3 linked regions of the Arabidopsis thaliana genome follow. The protein of the gene in region 3 interacts with the protein of the main gene of each other region in a pairwise test. Each region holds a gene or a part of one and is shown on either strand. Other genes may lie near its edges.

Region 1 (8,445 bases), on a different chromosome or scaffold from region 3:
CTTCGCTCACAAGATTCCACACATTAACAAAAGTCCGCATTCTAGGGACCTACAGAATATTCCTCAATTTTAATCAACACTTGAATTGTTGCTTAGTCCAAATAAACGGCTTAACTATTTAAATATTCTGGTGGTTTGTGTTTAATGAACGGTGGTTATAAATCTTATCAACAAGTTTTTGAACTTAAGCAAATAAAACCACTAATATAGAAATATATATATATATATATATATATATATATATGTGTGTTAAGAACTATATAGGAAAATATTATACGTTTTTTTCAGGGACTATACAACACACTTATCAGATTTCCATTTCACTCATTTGATCTATAACTTTGACATTAACATCTCACATTCTATTATAAAGTATTAACACTGTAATCTTCTTTTTTTTGCTGATTTATTTTAGGAGGTGGTCATATATCTCAACCTTTAGAAAATGTACTTTATATGTCAAATATAAAAATGAGTGTGTATCTATCAAAACGAATACAATTATATTATAATAGAAATAGTTACATAAATCATGGGTTTTAATAATATAACCGAAAGTATATAAATCATCATTATGATTAAATTTTAGTAGGTCTGCCATTATAAAATCGAAATTTATCTTAAATTTAGAACTCTTTCATTATAATTTTTAAAACTTCACACAGTTAATTGAATGTAAAAAAAGAAAATCTAAGACTAAATCACATCTAAAAGTTTTCATTTTTCAAGGAACATTTAACATAAAACGACTATTAATTGATATCATAAATTTTGTCTTTTCTATTTTGAAAATGTTACTTTATGCAATAGATAAACTTAATGTGTAAGCCATCGAAATCGATGAAAAAAAAATTCAAAAACAGGATTTTTTTGTTTTGAAAATCTTCCAAATCTCTATAAACATTATAAATAGCAAAAAAAAAAAGAGAAATATATATATATATATATATATATATATATATATATATGATTCAAAAGATTTTCAAAACAGAAAATATATCTTTTTCGAGTTTATCTCTTTCATCGAGTTCGATGACTATCAACTTAAACATTAAGTTTTTATCTAGTGCATATAGTGATATTTACATAAGAGAAAAACAAATTTTGTGGTATTAATAAATAGTCGGTTTATGTTAAATGTTCCTTAAAAAATAAGTTTTTAAATATAATTTCATCTTAGATTGTCTTTTTTACATTCAATTAAATGTGTGAGTTTTCAAAGATTACAGAAAAATAATCATAAAATCCAAGATGCGTTTTGAATTTTATAACCATGAAATACATATAAACCTATGAAAATTTAATCATAATGATACTCATACACTTTCAGTTATATCTTCAAAAATCATGATTAGTGTGTATAATTGTATTCATTTTGATGGATTCACAATTATTTGTATGTTTGACATACATAATATAAAATATATAAATTCCAAAAGGTTGATATCACCGTTTCCAAAAAATAAACAAGCAAAAAGACAGATTTACGTGATAATACTTCATAATAGGATGCGAGATGTTAGTTTCAAAGTTATAGATCAAATCAGTGAAATGAGATTTTGGTAAGTGTGTTATATAGTTCTTAAAAATCTGGAATCCCGTATCATCTTTTCTTATATAGTTCTTACATCTTAACATATATATTTGTTATTTCTATATTGGTGGTTTTATATTTGCTTGAGTTCATAAACTTCTTGATAAGATTCATAAACCGTCTTTGAAAACAAACCATCAAAATGGTCCCTCTTCTTGTTTCTTTGAAAAGATCATTTCATACAAGCGATATAGACAAAGCATTTAAGAAACAACAAGTTGAGAAGTTTTGTAACACGTACGTTGTTGTAACAAAAAAAAAAAAAAAAAAGAGTAAAGACTTTGCCAAAGTTTTCGAAGACTTTACCTTTGCCATGGTTAAGGAGCCCAAAACGAAGCAAGCAACTGATCCCCGAGTCTCAAGTATTGACTTCGAAAACAAATATTAATATATATAATACACATATATATATATATATATATATATATGTAAAGCATATTAATTGATATGTAAATAACTATTATAAGATTTTAAGAGTAAATAAATAGTATGCCAAAACAATAATTTGAATACTTATACTACTATTTTGAGTTTTTGATTTTCAATTAAACATTCAATGACAAAAACAAAAAGGGAACTAATTGAATTATTGCATCTTATGCATATACTATATTTCATAGATCCAACATTAAAATAAACTAACTGTTATTTTAGACCATTGTTTTCTTTAAAATAATTGTTGCTTTTTGCCCACAGAAATTAATAATGTGTTGTTTTAGGATTTTAGTGTAAATTCTGATAAATAATGTCTAAACTTTCTCTATATAAATTAATGAAAATATGAAATAAATTTTTTCTTCTTAATTCGCTTGAAAATAAAAAAAAATGACATGAATATGGAAAACATCATTGTGAATTTTTTTGTTAGTTAGTCAGTTAAAGTAAAGATTATGGAAGTTTTGTTTTGGTAAACTTACAAAAACAAATATTAATTGTAACAAAAATTGATTTCAAACTCTCTCTCTTTCTCATTTATATAACTTTATTTTTCACAAATCACAATGCACAACTCAAAAAAATTAGAATGTTTAAAGTAGATAATGCAAACAAAAAACTCTCAAATCGATTTGATATTAATTAAATGAATCTCTTGATCTTCAAATTGAGTTACAATCTAACCTTTTCTATTTAGATAAAATGTGAAAATTTATTTTAGAACTTATACTGAACACAGAGACGTAACGAAGAGAAACAGAAAACTAAAAAATATGTTGTAAATACGACAAAAGACTATAAAAGTTAATGACATTCACGAAATTTACACGTTCTAATGGTCGATGACACAAGGAAACTTTCAATGTTGCCACAAGTGAATTGAGATCTCAAGTCAGCCTCCAATACTTCTGAAAGAGCGGTGCTAACCCTCTTAATACAAAATTTATATATCTAAACAAAACACCGTACTAAACCAAACAATCTTAGATTCAATCGCGGTGCTTACAATCTAACTTAGTTATAACAAAATTTATATATCTAAACGAAAACTAAACACCACATTAAACTCAACCATCTTAGATTCAATCAAAACCAAGATTTAATATATTTTATTTTTCATCTAGAAAGAAAAACCAGAAAACCTTTATGTAATGATTCAAGTTTTTTTTTATACCATCACACTAAAAATAAAAAGATAGCATTCAAAATCCAAAAATAAATAAATATTAAAATGATTACATCAACGCTTCACAAGAACATAAATCCATGAAAATGTCACAGCTTTAACACTCTCCTTCTCTATAAATACTCATAACCTCAAACCTGAGATTCCTCATTCCTTAAACCCCTAAACCTCCAAAATTCTCTGAACCTTCACAAAGATCACAAAAATGGAGGTCGAAGGCAAAGGAGGAGAAGCTGGAACCACCACCACAACCGCACCTCGGAGGTTCGCACTTCCGGTGGACGCGGAGAACAAAGCAACAACTTTCCGACTATTCTCAGTCGCTAAACCTCACATGAGAGCTTTCCATCTCTCATGGTTTCAATTCTTTTGCTGCTTCGTCTCCACTTTCGCAGCTCCGCCTCTCCTCCCTGTTATCCGTGAAAATCTTAACCTCACCGCCACCGACATCGGAAACGCCGGAATAGCCTCTGTCTCCGGCGCTGTTTTCGCTCGTATCGTCATGGGCACGGCATGTGATCTTTTCGGTCCACGTCTAGCCTCCGCCGCTTTGACGCTCTCCACCGCTCCCGCCGTCTATTTCACCGCCGGGATAAAGTCTCCGATCGGGTTTATCATGGTGAGATTCTTCGCCGGATTCTCTCTCGCCACTTTCGTCTCGACTCAGTTCTGGATGAGCTCCATGTTCTCTGGACCCGTCGTGGGTTCGGCTAACGGAATCGCCGCCGGGTGGGGTAACCTCGGAGGAGGCGCGACGCAGCTGATCATGCCCATCGTGTTCTCGTTGATTCGTAATATGGGAGCCACCAAGTTCACCGCGTGGAGGATCGCTTTTTTCATCCCCGGTCTCTTTCAGACTCTCTCTGCTTTCGCCGTTCTCTTGTTCGGTCAGGTAACAAACCAATCACACTCACCGGTTCAGTTATTTTGGTTTTTTCAACTAATCCGGTTTTGAGAATTTATCACCAAGTTATTTTTTGTTTTGGTTAAATTTACTTTCTTTGTATAGTCAGTTTATCCTGTTCTATATAAATGATTAAACCGATTCGTTTAGGTGCAAACCCGGTTTATTGATACCGGTTTGGGTCGTCTAGTAGAGTCTTTAGTCGGTTAATCATGGTCGAGTTTCAGTGGATATGGACAATAACTGTTTAATCATCTAAGTTGTGTCTATTACAAGGAATAGTAAAAGGATACATTTGTTTTGTCTTATGTTTGCTATATGTTTTTGGAAATGAGTAGGATCTTCCTGATGGAGATTATTGGGCGATGCATAAATCTGGAGAGAGGGAGAAAGATGATGTGGGGAAAGTGATATCTAATGGAATCAAAAACTATAGGGGATGGATAACAGCATTAGCATATGGCTATTGTTTTGGAGTAGAGCTTACCATTGACAACATCATCGCAGAATATTTCTTCGATAGATTCCATTTAAAGCTCCAGACAGCAGGGATTATAGCAGCGAGTTTTGGACTAGCCAATTTTTTCGCTAGACCTGGAGGAGGAATTTTCTCTGATTTTATGTCGAGACGGTTTGGGATGAGAGGAAGGTTGTGGGCTTGGTGGATTGTGCAAACATCAGGAGGTGTATTATGCGCATGTCTTGGCCAGATTTCTTCCTTGACAGTGTCTATAATTGTTATGCTTGTCTTCTCTGTATTCGTCCAAGCCGCTTGTGGACTTACCTTTGGCGTTGTTCCCTTTATTTCTAGAAGGTAACATACATTTTGGTATTGAGTTGCTTGATTGGTTATTCAACATTTTTGCTTACAAAAGTTTGTTTATGCAGATCTCTTGGGGTGGTATCGGGAATGACTGGTGCGGGAGGCAATGTAGGCGCGGTCTTAACACAGTTGATATTCTTCAAAGGATCGACATACACGAGAGAGACGGGTATAACTCTAATGGGGGTAATGTCAATCGCATGTTCATTACCAATATGCTTGATTTACTTTCCGCAATGGGGAGGTATGTTTTGTGGACCCTCTTCCAAAAAAGTAACTGAAGAAGACTATTATCTCGCCGAATGGAACGATGAAGAGAAAGAAAAGAACTTACATATCGGAAGCCAAAAATTTGCGGAAACCAGCATTAGCGAAAGAGGTCGAGCCACAACGACTCATCCCCAAACTTGATAAATTCATGGTGTTTTTTTTGTTTATATGTATCGACTGTTGACTATGTTTTTGTCTTCTTCTCTTTTGTTTTTCTTAAGAGTTTTCAAGAACTCAATTTCTTGATTTTATTTATAATTGTGTGATAAGTTGTGTATGTTATGTAAAACCTACTACTGGTTACTGCTTTCTTTGTAATGGAAGGCTTTTGTAAATGTTTGTTCATCATGGAATGAACAAACGTATTTTCATTTAGTATACATATTTTGTTTTTTAGTTATCTTTTGTTGATCGTGATAATAATGATTTGACCACAAGAATACAAACCAGTAGATTCATAATTTATTATACACTGTTAGTCTGTTAACCTTGTAAACCAAAAACGTTTCGATATTCATATGCTCTTTTACATCAAACACTCGGTTATTTGTTTTATCCAAATAACTATGACAATTACATAGTTACTAATTGGTACTTTATTTCATTATCAGATATTAACTGAGTTGAAAACAAAATTAGATAGCAGTTGAATTAAACTTTCTATTAGTATTACATCATTAAGTGTTTTTAGGTGACCAAAAAAAACAACAATTACATTCTTCCCACTTTACAAATACTTTTAAAACAAAACAGCTTGTCTTTTATGTCAAAGTTCATTGAAAGATGAACTTACTTTGGTATATTACAGATACCATGAAACCTTAAAATCTTCAATAGATCACATCTTTTTAGCCCAACATCTTTATTTTATTTACTTTTGGGCATATTTAGCCCAACATCTTTGGCAGGGAAGAAAAACTTTGTAATCTTCTCGCTATGCCATTGGGCTAGAAAGGCCATTATGGGCCTATTCTTATTTCATTATGTCTCTAGTGGGCCTACTACTGTCTTTACTATCTTGGCCAATTAGAATAAAATCTTTATTGTATGTTTCCCAATCTACCACATTGTCACAAACACTCACAATAATTGCTCCGCACGTAGCAAGAAGTAGGCCATATGGAGTCCACGACACAAAGATTTGAATGGTCAAAGATATATAACAAAACAAAAGAAATAAAAGAGTTGTCGCATGTTCTTATATAAACGATTTATATATTATAACTGCATTTTACATTATTGTATTGTTTAGCCGAGTCGTGCGAATGGAATATCAAATCGTCATCCTTTTGATTTTGAATGACAATTATACAGTAATGGAGACACACACACAAACATATAAACTATTAAATTCTACTGTGAAACGCTAAGTCAATAAGATTAACTGGTGTAAAGCTGTCTGATTAACAAAAACTTAAGTGTGAAAGCTGTCTTTTACCACTCTTCCAAACACTCGTAAGTCGTACCAAATCTAGTTCTTTATTTATTTTTTAATCGTTCTCTATATTATATAAAAGAGAAAATAAAACTATTAACTTCTATATAATTCATAAACCATTGATTCCTAAAGATTACAAAATCATTGATCTCCTTCTTCTTCTTTAACTTTAAGCACTCTCTTTCTCTCTTTCTCTTTCTCTTGTCGTCGGAGAATGGAGAAAGATAATGACTTCAAGGATCCGTTTCTGGCGTCAACTGAGGAGGAGGAGCTCGACCCGGCGACCCAAAAAGCATTGATGGAGTATCTTGGAGTCGGAAGCAGAGCATCTTCTCTTGTCTCCTTCTCCTCTACCGCCGTCGATATCCCTCCAATCTCCGGTGTCGGAGACTTTGTCAGAGAGTTTAGAATCGAGTCTAGAAAGCTATGGAAACTAGCTGGCCCTGCCATTTTTACAACGATGAGCCAATACTCTCTCGGAGCCGTCACTCAAGTTTTCGCCGGACATATTAGCACTCTTGCTCTTGCCGCCGTCTCCATTGAGAACTCCGTCATCGCCGGCTTTTCATTTGGTATCATGGTACGTTTTACATTGATATGTCTCCCCTGATCACATTTTTCCCTTTCTGTTATGGAACGTATACATTTAACAAATCTTTTGCATCTCTTTATAGACTAAAATAAATGATTTATTATACTTTCAAATCATTTTTCACACCAAATTCAAAGTATTAAGAATCTACAATCGATCAACTTTAATCTTTTTATATAACAACCTATATATATCATTTTGTTGTATATTTGCCATACTATAAAACTAGTTTAATATGATTTTGGTAGTTTGTATGCAAATTTCTTACGGCTATTATTTGTATGTATGGTGCCTTTAGCTTGGAATGGGAAGTGCGTTGGAAACGCTATGCGGACAAGCGTTTGGAGCAGGGAAAGTATCAATGCTTGGCGTTTACTTACAACGCTCGTGGGTTATTCTAAGCGTAACCGCTCTCTTCCTTTCTCTAATCTATATCTTCGCGGCTCCAATCCTGACCTTTATAGGCCAAACCGCTGCAATCTCGGCCATGGCAGGGATTTTCTCCATTTACATGATCCCACAAATCTTTGCCTACGCTATCAACTTCCCAACGGCGAAGTTTTTGCAATCACAAAGCAAGATCATGGTCATGGCTGGAATATCCGGTGTGGTTCTTGTGATCCATAGTTTCTTCACGTGGCTAGTCATGTCTAGGTTACACTGGGGACTTCCTGGTTTAGCTTTAGTGCTTAACACGTCGTGGTGGGTCATCGTTGTTGCACAACTTGTGTATATCTTTAATTGTACGTGTGGAGAGGCTTGGTCTGGATTTACGTGGGAGGCTTTTCACAATTTGTGGGGGTTTGTTAAATTGTCTTTGGCTTCTGCTGCCATGCTCTGGTGAGTGCAAACCTTTTTTCTCTTCCAATTATTTTGGTCCGATTTGATCCAACCCCATTAATGAATTCATATTTTAAATACAATTTATTTACTTTTGTAGTTTGGAGATTTGGTATTTTATGGCACTCGTATTATTTGCTGGATATTTGAAGAATGCTGAAGTCTCCGTAGCTGCACTCTCCATATGGTAAAATTTGTTATATCTCTTAAACTAATTAACATCTTTACAACATTTAAGGTTTACATGATTTGTTATTTGATTCATTTATTTATTATCAGAGAGATTCTCTGAATAAAGACTAGACCCAACGTGCGTAGTAGTCTCTTGTTTTGTTTAATAATCAATGTCCTTAATGTATTAAG
Region 2 (8,120 bases), 4.0 Mb from region 3:
CCGAAAATGAATACTAGGCAAAACTTTTTATTGTAAACCAACTTTTTGTCTTATCCGAAACTTTCTGATTAGTAAACACACATTTTTAACTAGTACTCACAGACGAGAACAAGATATGTAGATGACGTGTGTGTTAAAATTCAATGGTTTGAATGATGAGAATTAAGTCAGAGAGGAGACGTACCGTACATCTTCCGCATCCTAAGGACAGAACCCAATGCTGTGATCTGTACGGTTATAAAATAGGAGTACTACTTTAACAGATAAGTCAATTAAGTTATCGTTAATATATTTATTATTTAAGCAAGTCAATAATTAGCACCTATCATAAATTTTTATATGAGCACGATAAGCATCAACCACTTTATTGGTGAATAATCCCACGTTGTTTCGTGAAAATTGCCGTCATTGGAGCGCGACTATTACATTATACAACTAAAACTTTCTGAAAATTTACAAAAAGGAGTCATAATTATTCACGCTGAATAAAAAGTAAATCTGTTTTTAACCTACAACTTTTGACTCCAATCTATTCACACCGTTTACTTTTCAATTAATCCACTTGAAGGTATATACTAGTGATGTTCACTTCAAAAGCCCGTATCTACGAAATCCAAACCAAATTGAAAAATCCAATCTAAAAACTTATCTGAATCTTTTTATCTGTCGAATTCGTTGTAATTTTCCCTATATCAAACAAATTACAACCTGAACCGGGCGAACAAAAAAGGAAAAGACAAAAACTGAAATATTTTTTTTGTATAGCTTTTTGCTAGTGCTAACGTTAAGAAATTCTCAACATTGTTTGTTTTGTCTGTTAAAGTTTTTTTTATATACAAGGAGTTCCACTAAATAGTATTATGAATAATAGATAATTAAGTTTTAATTATGGTAATTTGATGAAGAACTAGACTCTATTTGCATTGTAGTTTTACGTATACATGAAAAGTAGAAGTCTACCAAGTTGAGCAATAAACATTCTATAAACTTGAGAAGTCAATGAGCCAATAACTCCTGTAATGAAAAATAGTTAGAGACAATTTTTTTTGTTTGACCTTTCCACAATTTTCGATTCTTAACCTATAAACATTGGACTTTTTTAGTTGCCTTCCCCTACATGTAAAAACAATATATATATACATTTTTGCAGCCATTTTGTGAAATAAATTCTAGAGTTGGAACTTATTTACAATGGCTGCCACTGGATTTTAATGTTTGTTTTTGATAATTAGAAAAAAAATCTTCAAATTAAATATTTGACATTTAACAATCTTCCCTAAATCTCTCCACATTAACTACACGGTTAGTTACTAAAATTAAACTTCCAAAATATTTAATATCATTTAATTACTACACAATTATCATTTTTGATATTGTTTTTCTCCATGACTATAACAATTCGATTATAATCATCAAACCGTAGAGATATTTGATAGCATTTAATTACTACAAAATTATAAAATATTTAGACAATAATTCATAAAAATATCATAAATAAGATCAATATTAATAAAATAAATGGTTTTTTTACGGGACGGGTTGGCGGGACGGGTTTGGCAGGACGTTACTTAATAACAATTGTAAACTATAAAATAAAAATATTTTATAGATAAATACAATTTGCAAAGTTTTATGTATAGTAACTTTAAAAAATAAATTGTTTCCGCGGTGTACCGCGGGTTAAAATCTAGTATATATATATAGAACTAAAACCATTACAAAAAGAAAAGATTTCGCCTTTTTAATGATGGATAATTCTAAAGCCTATAAGACTTAAACTTTTATTTAAAATCTACAGTTTGTTGCCCAAATAAAATGTGATAAGTATAGAGATAACAAAATATAAAATTATTTCTTACCAAAAAAAAATATATATATATATATATAAGACTATTTTACCGTAATTTATTGATGATTGCAGACAATACAAGATATCTCTAGTTTACAAAAATATCATCAACAATATTCGAGAGAATAGTTCTTTTGAGTATTTGCGGATGGCCGGAAACAACAACACTTAGAAATCATATTTAGTAAAGAATTATGTTTAGAGTTTAGACTTTATAGCTTATATATTATATTGAGATGATAGATGATTATAAGGAAAAACATAAGGAAGTCAACTTATCATAACGCTTCATTGTAAGGATATGCGAATATCAAAGGCGGAAAGATTTAGAATAAGTGAATAACCCATAATTTCATAAACGTTAGAGCATTTTTTTAGGAAATTATTTTAAGATAGCAATTATTTCATTTGGTGAGTCGACCACATGGAATCCTCAAGAGACAAATGAAAAATAATTAGACTTTTTGACGATTTTTGCCTTCATTGATACGTACGGCCTCTTAGGCTTTTTAGCTATTTCCAATGCCAACTGTCAACATTCGTATCTCTTTCGCCATTTTAGTGAAATTCCACAAAGTCATTATCTTTGATGTATATAACTTGCCAGGCTGCTACTATACCAAATAGATTTATAAATATTATTTTTAGATTTCTTTTCCATACTTTTTAATTCTCAAACGAAACTTTATGCAAAGTTGAAATAAAGTTTTCTTCTGCATTTCACTTAAAATTATAATTTGTCAAACAGAAGTGCAAACATTGATTTTCTGACTGAAAATTTTTCAACCTTACAAAAGTTGCTTGAACTTTGTTTAGAAAAAAGAAAATACTAATACTTGATAAACCCTCACGGTTCCTATTTTAAAACCAAAACCTTCAAATCAAAGACTCAAGAATCAATTCATAAATGTGTGAGACAAAACTCATAACCCAAATATGGTACACGTACGTATGAAACGTACTTAAATGCTACAAAAGAATAATATGTTTAGTTCTCAAATTTAAATAATTTTTTCCTTCTATCATTACTAATCAAAATTACAACTCATATCTATACTAAATGCTATTATCAGCTAACAATAATAAAATTTTCACAAATTGGTAAAGTCCTTATTAACTTTTACTTATCTTATTCAAATCTCATTATTGGACCCACCTAACCCTACCCACCATATGATATTGGTATCCCCTCTGGCCTCTATATAAACTTTGCATTTCTCTAATCTCCAACTTACACCAACAAAACACAACAAAGACCATTAGCCTTCTCTCCCACTCAGAGTCTTTCATCTCACTCTCGCCTTAAATGACTCACAACCATTCTAATGAAGAAGGCTCCATTGGAACCTCCTTGCATGGAGTTACAGCAAGAGAACAAGTCTTCTCTTTCTCCGTCGATGCTTCGTCTCAAACAGTCCAATCAGACGATCCAACAGCTAAATTCGCCCTTCCGGTTGATTCCGAACATCGAGCCAAAGTGTTCAACCCACTCTCTTTTGCTAAACCTCACATGAGAGCCTTCCACTTAGGATGGCTCTCATTCTTCACATGCTTCATCTCCACCTTCGCGGCAGCACCATTAGTCCCCATCATCCGCGACAACCTCGACCTCACTAAAACCGACATTGGAAACGCCGGAGTCGCATCCGTCTCTGGTGCCATTTTCTCAAGGTTAGCCATGGGAGCGGTTTGTGATCTCCTCGGTGCACGATATGGGACTGCCTTCTCCCTCATGCTAACCGCCCCAACCGTCTTCTCAATGTCGTTTGTGGGTGGCCCTAGCGGATACTTAGGCGTCCGGTTCATGATCGGATTCTGTCTCGCCACGTTTGTATCATGCCAGTATTGGACCAGCGTTATGTTCAACGGTAAGATCATAGGACTAGTGAACGGCTGTGCAGGCGGGTGGGGTGATATGGGCGGTGGAGTGACTCAACTCCTAATGCCGATGGTCTTCCACGTCATCAAACTTGCCGGAGCCACTCCGTTCATGGCCTGGCGGATAGCTTTCTTCGTTCCCGGATTTCTTCAAGTTGTTATGGGCATTCTCGTCCTCAGTCTCGGCCAAGATCTCCCTGACGGTAACCTAAGTACCCTTCAGAAGAGTGGTCAAGTCTCTAAAGACAAATTCTCCAAGGTACTTTTCTATATATATATATTTCTGTCTCATCTTCAAATATATAACAAATCCAGACCAAGAAGAATATGGCTCTCATTAAAAGAATCTTGCAAACATTAAACATACTCATGAAGTTTTGCAATAAATTCGTGAAGAACTATTTCGTTTATTTAGTTAAATAAATTTCTAGTGTCTAAAGGTTTTTCTTGTTATAGGTTTTCTGGTTTGCTGTGAAGAACTACAGAACATGGATTTTATTCGTTCTTTATGGATCTTCCATGGGAATTGAATTAACTATCAACAACGTTATCTCCGGATATTTTTACGACAGGTTCGATTTCTTATTCGTTAAAACCCAACTGATGAACTTACTTACTTCTGTCACAAGGTAATAACCTTAATTTGTTTTCTTGTTCTCTACGTATTTATCAGGTTTAACCTTAAGCTTCAAACAGCTGGTATAGTAGCAGCCAGCTTTGGAATGGCTAACTTCATCGCCCGTCCCTTCGGTGGTTACGCTTCTGATGTAGCGGCTCGGGTTTTTGGCATGAGAGGCCGGTTATGGACCTTATGGATCTTTCAAACCGTAGGAGCTCTTTTCTGTATCTGGCTAGGTCGAGCTAGTTCACTTCCCATAGCAATCCTAGCAATGATGCTCTTCTCAATCGGTACACAAGCAGCTTGCGGAGCCCTCTTCGGAGTTGCACCTTTTGTCTCGCGCCGCTCTCTAGGGCTCATATCGGGACTAACCGGCGCAGGAGGAAACTTCGGGTCCGGTTTGACTCAACTGCTTTTCTTCTCATCAGCGAGGTTTAGTACAGCTGAGGGACTCTCATTGATGGGCGTTATGGCGGTTTTGTGCACACTCCCAGTTGCGTTTATACATTTTCCGCAATGGGGAAGCATGTTTTTAAGACCGTCGACCGATGGAGAAAGATCACAGGAGGAATATTATTACGGTTCTGAGTGGACGGAGAATGAGAAACAACAAGGATTGCACGAAGGAAGCATCAAATTTGCAGAGAATAGTAGGTCAGAGAGAGGCCGGAAAGTAGCTTTGGCTAACATTCCAACGCCGGAGAACGGAACTCCAAGTCATGTTTGAAGACAAAACTTACAAGAGATTTTCCTTTTACATTAAATCCCTTTTTAATAGTTTCATACTCCACTCATATATGTACCGAGTAAGACCTTTTCTGTGATAGGTAAGGATCGATGAGCTTGGTACTTTAGTATAAATTATTGTAATGTCATCAGAATGTTCAACTACTCTTTTTTCTGCACCAATAAGCTTTATGTTCAATCAGATTTACATGTCAAGTGAAAAAAACAAAAAAAGTCTCTGTTTACGGTGTGTGAAATGCTAAGAGAGTCCACATGAAGAAAACTTTATGGACAAGGACCACGGAAGAAGCAATTGAATGAGTGATCTTTACATCACAGAAACGGATCTCATCGAAAGAATGTAAGAAGAGTATGAGAAAATAATAAACTACATAGATTTTCGAAATATTGATTCAGAAGATTAATATGTTATTTTTTTCCACTCACACTACTCATTTTACAAGAGATACTCCAGAGATTTTATGTGCAACTCTGTAATTTGATTCAAGATTCCTTCACTGGAATCAACATAAAGATGGAATATCTGAGTCACCTTTCCAACGAATATTCGAATATAATTATGAGAATATTCGAATATAATTATGAGAATATTCCCACTTTAATATTAAATATAATACCATAATCGTCAACATCTCAGTCTTTAAAAAAACAGAAAAAAAAAATCCTACAATACCACCAAAAAATATTACTTTTCTCTCTGTTTCGCCTTCAAAAAAACGTTCAACAACAATAACGAAAAAAAAAGAAGGTGCACATGATAATGATAATACTAATATAGAAAGAATCTCTGACCTCTTAAGGAAATGCAGAGATTAGTGAGTATGGTTTCTCTGTCTCTCAAGTGTGTGGCTTTAGAACTCGTTAAAAACCATTCCCAAACCCATCAAAAAAACCAAAGCCTTCCCTCTCTCTCTCTTAGCATGTGACCCCAATCTGAGTCTTTTCCATTTTCCATCAAGAGAAGAAGACTCGACTCTCTATCTTCAATCTTCAAGTCCGGCTTTAGCCTTAAGGTGCCTCTTGAAGTCCATAATGTCACCATTCCATTTAGTGATGCATTGTTTCTCGCAAACCCATATCTCATGAGCCACTTGGTTGATCAACCTGAAGTCGTGACTAACCAGAACCAAACCACCATCCCACTCATTCAATGCCTCAGCAAGCGAGTCGATTGTCTCGATATCCAAATGGTTAGTAGGCTCATCAAGAAGAAGCATGTTAGGCTGCTTATAAGCTAACCACGCAAAGATCACTCTGCTCCTTTGTCCGTCAGATAGATTCTTCATTGGCATCACTTGAGCCTTACCAGTTAGACCAAACCTACCAATCGCAGCTCTCATTTTCTCCTCTTCAGTACCCGGGAACTCCCTCATCATGTAGAGAAGTGCAGGCAATTCCAAGTCTAGCTTCTCAGCCAGATGCTGATGGTACTGAGCAATCTTCAAGTGGTTGTGACGTCGCACCATTCCTTCAGTTGGGTGCAATTCACCAGTCATGAGCTTCAAAAGTGTACTCTTTCCAGCTCCATTAGGTCCCACAAGGGCAACCCTCGAGTCCAAGTCGACACCAAAGTCAATGTTCTTGTAAATAAGATAGTCCGGTGTGTAACCAAAAGACACTTCAACAAACTGAAGCACTGGCGGTGGAAGCTTCCCAACATCAGCAAAACGGAAAACGAGAACACTGTCTCTAGCAACCTTTTCAGTGAGCCCACCTCTCTCCATCTTTGCCAATGTTTTCTCCTTACTCTGTGCTTGACGAGCAAGTTTGGCTGAACCGTGACCAAACCGAGCAATGTACTCCTTCATGTGAGAAATCTGCTCCTGCTCCCATCTGTATTGTTTCATCTGGTTCTCTTCAAGTTCAGAACGAGTCTGGCAATACTGATCAAAGTTACCAGTGTAGTACTTGAGCTGTTTGCTCTGCATGTGGATGATGTTTGTACACACTCCATTCAAGAAATCCTGTGAGTGGGATACCACAACAAGGATGCGATCAAAATTCTTCAGGCTCTCTTCTAGCCACACACAAGCTTCCAAATCTGTTCCAAGAGACAACAACAACATCAGCGACACGATACTTAAGGAAAACCATCTGAAGCGAGTACAAAGAAGAGAGATTACCAACCTAAATGATTAGTCGGCTCATCAAGCAAAAGGATTGTCGGCATAATGAAGAGTGCTCTTGCCAATGCAATTCTCATCCTCCAACCACCAGAGAAATCTTTTGTCTTCTTCGCCTGCATTTCCTTGTCGAAACCAAGTCCAAACAGAATTTCAGCAGCACGTTTCTCAGCGGTTTCTGCATCCATGGCGTCTAACCTCTCATAGATAGATTGAAGACGCTCTCCGCCTCCATCATCCTGCTGTACAAGAATTTCAACTTCTTTCTCTAACCTCAACCTCTCCTCATCACAGCTAACAACAGCCTCCAGGGAAGACATGTCAGTAGCTTCAATCTCGTGAGACAAATGGTAGATATCCATTTGATCCGGAATCGGTATCTCTCTGCGTCCGATTGCAGTTAAAAGAGTGGACTTTCCACAACCATTCAACCCAAGGAGACCATAACGCCTTCCATAGTTAAGCTCCAACATTGAATCAACAATAAGGTCATAACCATGAAACGTCACAGACAGAGATTCTATCTGCAACATATTTTAAACAGAGGATACAAAGTATGAGCAATCAAACAAGGATTATCCAAACATATATTCACAGATCAAAGGACACGAATCTAAATTTCCAAATCGAATCACGAAATCTAGATAAGAGGACTTACTCGGATATCTCTAGATTGAGGATGAGAACAGAGAACTCCGGTACAAGTCCGATCAGAAATTTGAAGAGCATCGACACCGCTTGACAAGCTATCAACACCGTTGGAAGAAGTAGCGGCGGATTTGGATGGAGCAGCAGCTTTACCACCTCTTTTAGCGGCGGCAGCAGCTTTCTTCTGAGCTGCCTTCTTCTTGCTAGCGTCAGACACCATCTTCAAATTATCTCCCTGAGAAAACAGATCAAATCC
Region 3 (8,190 bases):
TATCATTGAGTTACTTCTTAACTATCTCTCTAAAGTTGGATCTCCGATATCCGCTATTCCACAACGGATTCTTGCTTCGAAGAACACGCTATTGCCACCGGATTCTCCTGGAACTAGCTCTTTGATGGCTAAGCTTGATGAATGTGGGGAAACTCCAAAGGCCAAAAGTGAAGACAAACGAAAAGGTTTGTTTTTCTGCTTCAATCAATGTTATTAACCTTGAAATCACAGAGTGGTTTTAGGACCAGAGATTTGGTAGACATCACTCAAATTATTCATGTAATAATATCCTCCCTACCATATGAATTTAGCAAGAAGTTCATTTATATAAATAAATAGTTATGTAATTGTAATGAATTTAAAAGTAGACGTAAAGAAAAAGTTTCCTAAAGAGGCTCATGTTCCCTAAATGAGAAAGTTTTAGTTTTGTTAAATTTATCGTTTTCTATTTTTCTATCTCTTCTATTATCAAGACTCGAGGATTAAAGAAGTCAACTCTTCATTTTCAACTTTTTTTTTTAATCGTTTTGGTTGTGATTTTTTTTCGACCAATTAGTATCACAAGATGTCGAACTTTTGAAAACCAAAGTTTGATATCTCAAATGCTACCAAGTGTAGGTTATGTGGCTTAGCCAAAGCATGTGTCGCGTGCTTCACGAAATAAGGGACAATTGGTGCATTTAGCGTAGGGATGAAATTAGAAAACTAGAAATGAGAAGTTATCTCAGAGGTCAAATTCATATTTGGTTATTGATTCACGGATCAAATATCCAAATGACTTCTAGCCAAACCGTTAGGAGAAAATCCGTCGGTTGAGAATCATATATGGCGCTGGTGAGTGAGACCACCGAAAACAAACTTTATATTTATGAATATAGTACGATTCAAACGAATCAACATGACACTGGATGAAGACATCGGTGGTATGAATCTTCTGATTTTGAATCTGGTAACACCATCACCATCCAAAATAAGAAAAAAAAAATACGAAAAATGATTAAAGAGAGCGTCTCCCATCCCAATTACTAAAAAAAAATGGGAAAGAAACCACCCGGCAATTGCTGGTAGCCGTAAAAACCAAACAAGAAAATAGATATTACTTTTGTCCTCCCAAAGATTTTGTCCAGTTAACCAACTTTTCGAAGCCATGTCTTACGTTTTCAGTATATGCCTCTAAGGCAACTTGTATTTTCTCAAAGTGTGGTTTCCATATTGTCATAACTCGGCTTACCTAGAAAAACAAGTAACAATGGTCACAATGTATAGTGCAATGTCAAAAGAGAATCAGACATAATGAATAAAGATGGAAACATATTAACCTCAAGATAGTCGTAGGAAACGTCGAATGGTTGGGTGAAATGTGGGGTCAAAAGCCTGCTTACATGTATGTAACACCTCGATGGACTTATCGGTTAAGTATTGAATTTTTGGTTGGAGATAAATGGTTAATGTCACATACACATCTTTGATGCTTGGAATCCATTTCTGTGATATCTAAGAGAAGAATTCAAAGGTTAATAAGAATAAAGCAATAATGACTTGTCTTATAACGAAAACCAAAAACTTTCAGAATAAAACCTTTTGAAGAGTTTGGCTAAGATCTTGTTGCCGCAGAGTCACTATATATGCTTGCAACCATAATAAAAAAAAAGAGGATCATTTAAGATTGATCACTATGACAATTTTATCGATGTTAATTATGAACCTTCTTATAGAGTTACCTGAGTTTTATTTAGGTTTAGACCAAGCAACTTCCCATCGATCTGAACACAAGTAAAAAAAAAGTAAAGAAAGCTTTTGAATATGTACATACATCAGATCCAAGGGACACCATGTTTCTTACATTTTCAAGCTTTGAGCCAAGTTCCGCGACTTTCTTTTCTGCGATTTCAGCTCGAGTTTCCACTTCCAGACTTCTCTTGCGTTGCATTTCCACTTCTTCTCGTAGTTCAAGTATCTGCCAATGCAGAACTAAATTGAGGTAACAAAACAAGAAGGAAATACACACCTCAAACTACAAAACACCAACCTGTTTCTGAAGTTCATAAGCCGTTCCTTCTGCTTCACTGGATTCTCAGTCTAAATAAAAAAGCATCAACAGCAACAAAAGTGTAAATAAGTTTCTTCTATACATAACAATTTTGAATACATGAACCAAAGATTAATTAAAAATATCACTTGAAGAGATCCAACCACATCAAAGATGATGCAGCTTGAGTAATTGTTAACTCTTTCCAACTTTGGAAAGAGACAAAACGTCAAAGTGATTTCCAGAAACAGAGAACGGAAGCTCAAAAGTCTCTCTTGTGCCAAATATATTAAACCCTAAAAAATTCAACTTCTATCCGAATTTCTCAGAAACAAAACAAAGACACATAACTTCATATGAAATTCCAGTGAACGGTTACCTGAGGAAGAACCTTATTTGTTATCAGTGTAAAATAACAGAGAAGAGGTACGAGTAAAAGAAACAAAAGTGACTTAGGAAACGCCATTGTTGGAGACTGCTCACTGGAAGATAGAGAGTCGTGAGAGACAGTGATAAAGCGTATCAAGTCATATAGAGGGTCTTCTTATCTTTTTCTTTAACATGTGAGGGTTGAGTTAATTATGCGGGCTGATTATAGAGTTTTTAAATTGAATTTACGATTGTTTTTTTCTTACATATAAATGCAATCTATATTTGTGTTCGGAATAACCCATCTAATATTACTCCATGTATTAAACTAAAATATTTTGCATGTTTTGGTAGATCAACTTTTTGAATGATCACAGACCTACAAACATCAACCCTCTAATTATCCAATTTTACCATAATCCACGAGCTCTTAAAATTCATTTTTAATATATATAATTAAAATAGTTCAAACAGTTTAAACTTTGTGACCAAGTTAAAATATTTAAAATAGTTTGACTTTGTGATCAACATATTTAAATATAATCAATATTTTCATTTTTAAGCCGGAAAATCACGTCTTACAAATATATTTCTGATAGACACACCTATAATTCCAAAATTTTGACTTTTAAAACAAACAAAAAAAAATCTCATTAATACCACTACATACGTTTTTACAAAAATACCATTAAAAGATATTTTTTCAAATACTAAAAAAAACTAAAACTAAACTTTAAACCTATAAAACACTAAATCCTATAAAGTTTATATTCGAGTATAAACCTTAAAAGTTCAACCCTAAATCCTGAAAGCAAGACCCTAAACCCAAACTCAAACTTTTAAATTATAAATCCTTAAACAAAATCATTTTTAGTCTTTATGGTATTTTTAGAGTTAACAGTTTGTAGTTGTATTTTTGAAAAAAAAACACTAGTGATAGGTTTTTAGAATAAAAACTTAATTTAGTGGTATTGAGGATATTTCTCTAATAAAAATTATTCACAAAAAATATGTATTAAAGCAAAGTGCTATGCTTATTCCATGCAATCTTTTTTGAAAAAAAAAATATTTTCTAACCGATTAGTATATCTTCTAGAGGATTCATAGAAAAAGAGGATACAATTACAATATGTAGAGTATCTTATAGGTGACGTAACCATGAAATATAGAATTCTTTGGAATCTGAAACTGAATTATTCAGTTGATAAATGATAAAACAAATACTCATATCTCATCCTTTGGCATGTTTAGGAGCCATCTCTCAGCTGGACGGAGACAACACAGACACTTGTGCCAGAGAGGGAACACAATCTTCCCAAGTCTTCGAAAGGGTAATCTCAGACCAAACCGTTGACTTTGTTCTCATTAATTGTTTATGCTAAACCACAAGATATTTGGATCAAAAGTATTACCATAAATCACTATATAAAGACATAAATGTGCACCCCACTTTTCTTATCAATCATAAAAGTCAGCAAAACACAAGGCATATTCCTCTTCTCTTCCTCAGCCTTATTTTTCTGATATTCAGTTTCAAGGATATATCCATGGCGATCCAGAAGATCCTCTTTGCTTCACTTCTCATATGCTCACTGATCCAATCCATCCACGGGGCGGAAAAAGTAAGACTCTTCAAAGAGCTGGACAAAGGTGCACTTGATGTCACCACTAAACCCAGCCGAGAAGGACCAGGTGTTGGTATGTATAATTCTCTTCAAAACATCTATCATTTGCTACTTCATTAGCCATGCCTTATAAATGTGCGATTTTGCTCTAATACCATGTTAGATTTTAAAGCTTTATGAATGTTAAGACAAATTTTTATGAGTGTTGGAAACATTAGTTCTCTTTAGTCGTTTATTACAACATCATTAGATCTTATCCTATTAATTAGAATTACTTAGAATTAAGTGATATGAATGATAGTATGATCTAATATCAATTTACAAGAATAAGTTGGAATTAATATTTTGAATGTTTGGTCTTTAGTTTTGGATGCCGGCAAGGATACGTTGAACATTACATGGACGCTAAGCTCGATTGGGTCTAAAAGAGAGGCTGAATTTAAGATCATCAAAGTTAAGCTATGCTACGCTCCACCTAGCCAAGTTGACCGACCATGGCGCAAAACCCATGACGAGCTCTTCAAAGACAAGACCTGCCCACACAAGATCATAGCCAAGCCTTATGACAAAACACTTCAATCAACTACTTGGACTCTTGAGCGTGACATCCCCACCGGAACCTACTTCGTTCGTGCCTACGCGGTTGATGCCATTGGCCATGAAGTTGCCTATGGACAGAGCACCGACGATGCCAAGAAAACCAATCTCTTCAGCGTTCAGGCTATCAGTGGCCGCCACGCGTCCCTAGATATTGCCTCCATCTGTTTCAGTGTCTTCTCCGTCGTGGCTCTTGTCGTCTTCTTTGTCAATGAGAAGAGGAAGGCCAAGATAGAGCAAAGCAAATGAGTCGTTTACTTTGCGTATTTGTGACGTTGAACCCAAAAAAAGTTGACTTTGAACTTTCTTGTTTACCAATTCCTTTTGTCTTGTTGCACACTTCTTCTTTCTTATATGCTTTTATTTATGTGTTTGTACAATTAAGCCATTGATATGGAACAAAACTAATCCTACGGTGGTGATGCGTTTGTGTGCTTTATATATTTTTTATACACCTTTTGATATATTCTTACACACTTTTTTCACAAAGATTGATATTTGCATAATTTGTGGTAATCATTCTCAAAATACGGTATATATACTTCACCTCTTACTTTCAAAGAGAAATCATAAGTATAACTAAGCAATAATTCTATATATAGGGAATTATGATATAAAATTTATCCAAATTTTCAAAATATTAAACAAATATCTAACAAGTACCTAAAAATTTAAAATTTCAAGAAATGAATGGAGTATAATAAAGGTTCCTATAATAAAAGCTGGAAAAAAAATGTAGTATAACAAAATAACAATACGTGACTTTTTTTTTTGTCGTCACAAAACATAACTTTTAAATGCAAAATGGAACTTTGTAATATGAAAAGTTGTAAAGAGATTGAAAGACACCATTAACGTTTGTCGTCTAAGCCTTGATATGCTAAAAGTGATAAGCATGATGAATTGCTGACAGCGATCCCGATCATCATTAAGATTAGGTTGTCATCAAGATCTAGTTTGGGGTTACTCAAAATGTCAAACATGTCGACACATAATAAGTTTACTATATTTGTAACTATATACTAGTAATAGATGCACTGAGGTCAGCCAATGTGAGTGTGATTATAATAATACTAATACGCAAATGCATACGTACAATACTGAGGCTTAAATGTGAATACAGCTTTCGTCAAAAAGTTTAATATTTCGTTCATGCAAAACTCATTGTTATGCTGCTGTTTAATTGATGTAACTATAAAGTTTTATAAATTCGTTTTTCTGCTAGTATACAAAAAAAAAAAACAAAAAAAAAAATTTGGAGTTGTTGCCCACCGTCTATCTCATCAACCAAATCGAGCCACTTGTTTGGAAAACCAAATGGTCATAATCAATATGGCTTATCAATAAGTTGTGCTGGTTATTACAAATTAAAAAGTCCATCTACCGAATGACGAAATATTTATATTATTTTCATTAATGATACATTGACCTTTCATATCTAAAAACTGTGATAGAACCCATTCCCAAGAGACATGGAGCCAAACAAGCCACGTTCAAATGGTTAAGTTCTACGTACGGAGGTAGTACCTTCTTTTATGGTCAACAAAAAAAAAACCTATCATACCTATTTCTTTTGAACATTGAAAAAAGTAAGAAAATTCAAAATTGGTTTTTGCAAGCTTTTGTTATAAAATTATCAAGATATAACTGAAACATCAAGAATACTGAGACGTAAATTAGAATATGTGGCAATATATCCCGTTTAATTCAGTTAAATAGATTATTTATTTAAATCATTTAAAAATATTTTTAAATTTGATATATTCAAAAACTTATGATATCTATAATAAATCCAAACTAAATAAATATATTATCTATTTATAGTAGACAAATTATAAATACCAAAAAAAAGAGAATTTGTAGAAGAAAAAAATACAACCTATATTTTTCTAAAGAAATATCTAGTTCCAATGTTGGATATAAAATTATACTGGTAACATTTGAATTACATTGTATTAAAAATTTACATCATATTTAACATAATTTAAATAAATATTTTAGCATCACATATCATTAACTTAATAGTAGCTTTTATACCGATTTTAAGAATATTTAGGTTGGATCCGATAGAATTTTAGATAATTTAAACATAAAGCTAAATGTCACTAATGTTCTTTTGATCCCAAAAAAAAACATATGTTCTAGTTAGTTGCACAAATGTTTTAGTTATAATGTAGATAAACTGTCATTATCACGCTTATAAATTCAAAGTATACCTAACAATAAAAAAAGTAAGCGACAATAGTTATGTATTCATACTTATTTAAATCTATAGATTATGAACCATTAAAAAAAAAAAAAAAATCGAAAGTTTTTTTTACCGTTAAAAATATTTTCTACGATGAGGTTGAACGTCACAATATGTCATATTACAATCAGATTGAATACTATGCTCAAGTCGCTCATTAAACCATCATATGAGAATATATAGAGATGATCATCTCAAATACACATACAATTGGATATTTAAAACTATCTTTTAACAAGTAGTACACATATCCAATTAGATTCGATGTCAGAATGTTGTAGTGATTAGAAGACATTAAGCATGTGATCGTTTCCTATTATCCGCTTGATGCATGTATTATGTAATAATTAAATCATACGTGATAGGTGATTTCACTGAAGAAATAATCAAAATTGTATTTTATGTATAATACTATTTCACCAATGTAGTAAGTGGAAATAACTTCAAACATATTTCAAGAGTTTTTTTGAAATAGTAATATTCCAAATGAATAGCTAGATAATTTATTGATAGAACATTTGCAATAGATTATACGAGAACATATAAATAAAATAGTTTTATGAGGGCGTTATCTTATAACCAACTATGCCAAAAGCATTAGGGTATAACTAAAAATTATCATCTTGCATTGAGACTCTAAACAAAATTTCTTTAAAATTGGCCTTTAAATGAGTACCATCAATAGAAATGCAGTTCCAGTTCCTCATGAACTTATAACTGATGCACCAAAAACCAAAACTACATCATTTGACTTTTTTCGACATATCTTTTCAATAAAAGAGACATACATATTTATGATTTTTTTTAATATACCATATTAAAACACTTCAATAAAACTTCATAACTAATAACAAGTGTACATGAAGAAATTTATATTTGTAAATATGAGGATATTGAGGATGACGGTAATGATGATCAATTTGATAAAATAATTAAGAAAAATATCAAAAATTAACCAACAACTGCACGCCTTATTATTGTTACAAAAGATTATAACAACCTTAAAAGAAAGTTAGTGTATCTTCCACCTTAATCAACACCTGAGGATTATGGACATATATTGTTGCTTACCGGGTATGCAGTTGACGCAAATGGCATAAAAGTTTGAGAAGCTCAAGATTCTTATGTATTAAGCAAAAAAATAGTCGGATTTATAAGAATAGCTAGAGGAAAAAACTTAATCTCCGATTTCTTTGAGATGAAAATTCGACTTTGAGATAAATATTTATTAACCATATTATTGATAAGTCTTTTATATAGCAGGTAACTTTCTCATCGTAAATCATGGATTCAGATCTTTCTTGAAGTTTTAAAACTCTATG

Evidence for each region.
Region 1: the proteins of WR3 (region 3) and NRT2.5 interact in a two-hybrid assay, tested with the Arabidopsis thaliana proteins (one study listed by BioGRID).
Region 2: the proteins of WR3 (region 3) and NRT2.3 interact in a two-hybrid assay, tested with the Arabidopsis thaliana proteins (one study listed by BioGRID).

The regions. Positions count from the first base shown.
Region 1 is NC_003070.9:4,412,985-4,421,429, forward strand, and holds NRT2.5 (nitrate transporter2.5), read left to right. Parts: upstream 1-3,330; 5' UTR 3,331-3,420; coding exon 3,421-4,107; intron 4,108-4,457; coding exon 4,458-4,933; intron 4,934-5,007; coding exon 5,008-5,353; 3' UTR 5,354-5,606; downstream 5,607-8,445. Other genes in the region: RSH2 (root hair specific 2), read left to right, coding at 6,865-7,230, 7,541-8,082, 8,183-8,269. UniProt on the Arabidopsis thaliana protein: Nitrate transporter involved in the constitutive high-affinity transport system (cHATS) under long-term N starvation conditions.
Region 2 is NC_003076.8:24,447,684-24,455,803, forward strand, and holds NRT2.3 (nitrate transporter 2.3), read left to right. Parts: upstream 1-3,061; 5' UTR 3,062-3,155; coding exon 3,156-3,986; intron 3,987-4,183; coding exon 4,184-4,299; intron 4,300-4,400; coding exon 4,401-5,073; 3' UTR 5,074-5,281; downstream 5,282-8,120. Other genes in the region: ABCF1 (ABC transporter family protein), read right to left, coding at 6,077-7,134, 7,221-7,740, 7,875-8,084. UniProt on the Arabidopsis thaliana protein: Involved in high-affinity nitrate transport. Acts as a dual component transporter with NTR3.1.
Region 3 is NC_003076.8:20,432,667-20,440,856, forward strand, and holds WR3 (nitrate transmembrane transporter), read left to right. Parts: upstream 1-3,513; 5' UTR 3,514-3,641; coding exon 3,642-3,643; exon of another isoform or gene 3,644-3,729; intron 3,730-3,759; exon of another isoform or gene 3,760-3,945; coding exon of another isoform or gene 3,946-3,947; coding exon 3,948-4,096; intron 4,097-4,387; coding exon 4,388-4,869; 3' UTR 4,870-5,060; downstream 5,061-8,190. Other genes in the region: AT5G50180 (Protein kinase superfamily protein), read left to right, coding at 1-217. UniProt on the Arabidopsis thaliana protein: Acts as a dual component transporter with NTR2.1. Required for high-affinity nitrate transport. Acts as a repressor of lateral root initiation. May be involved in targeting NRT2 proteins to the plasma membrane.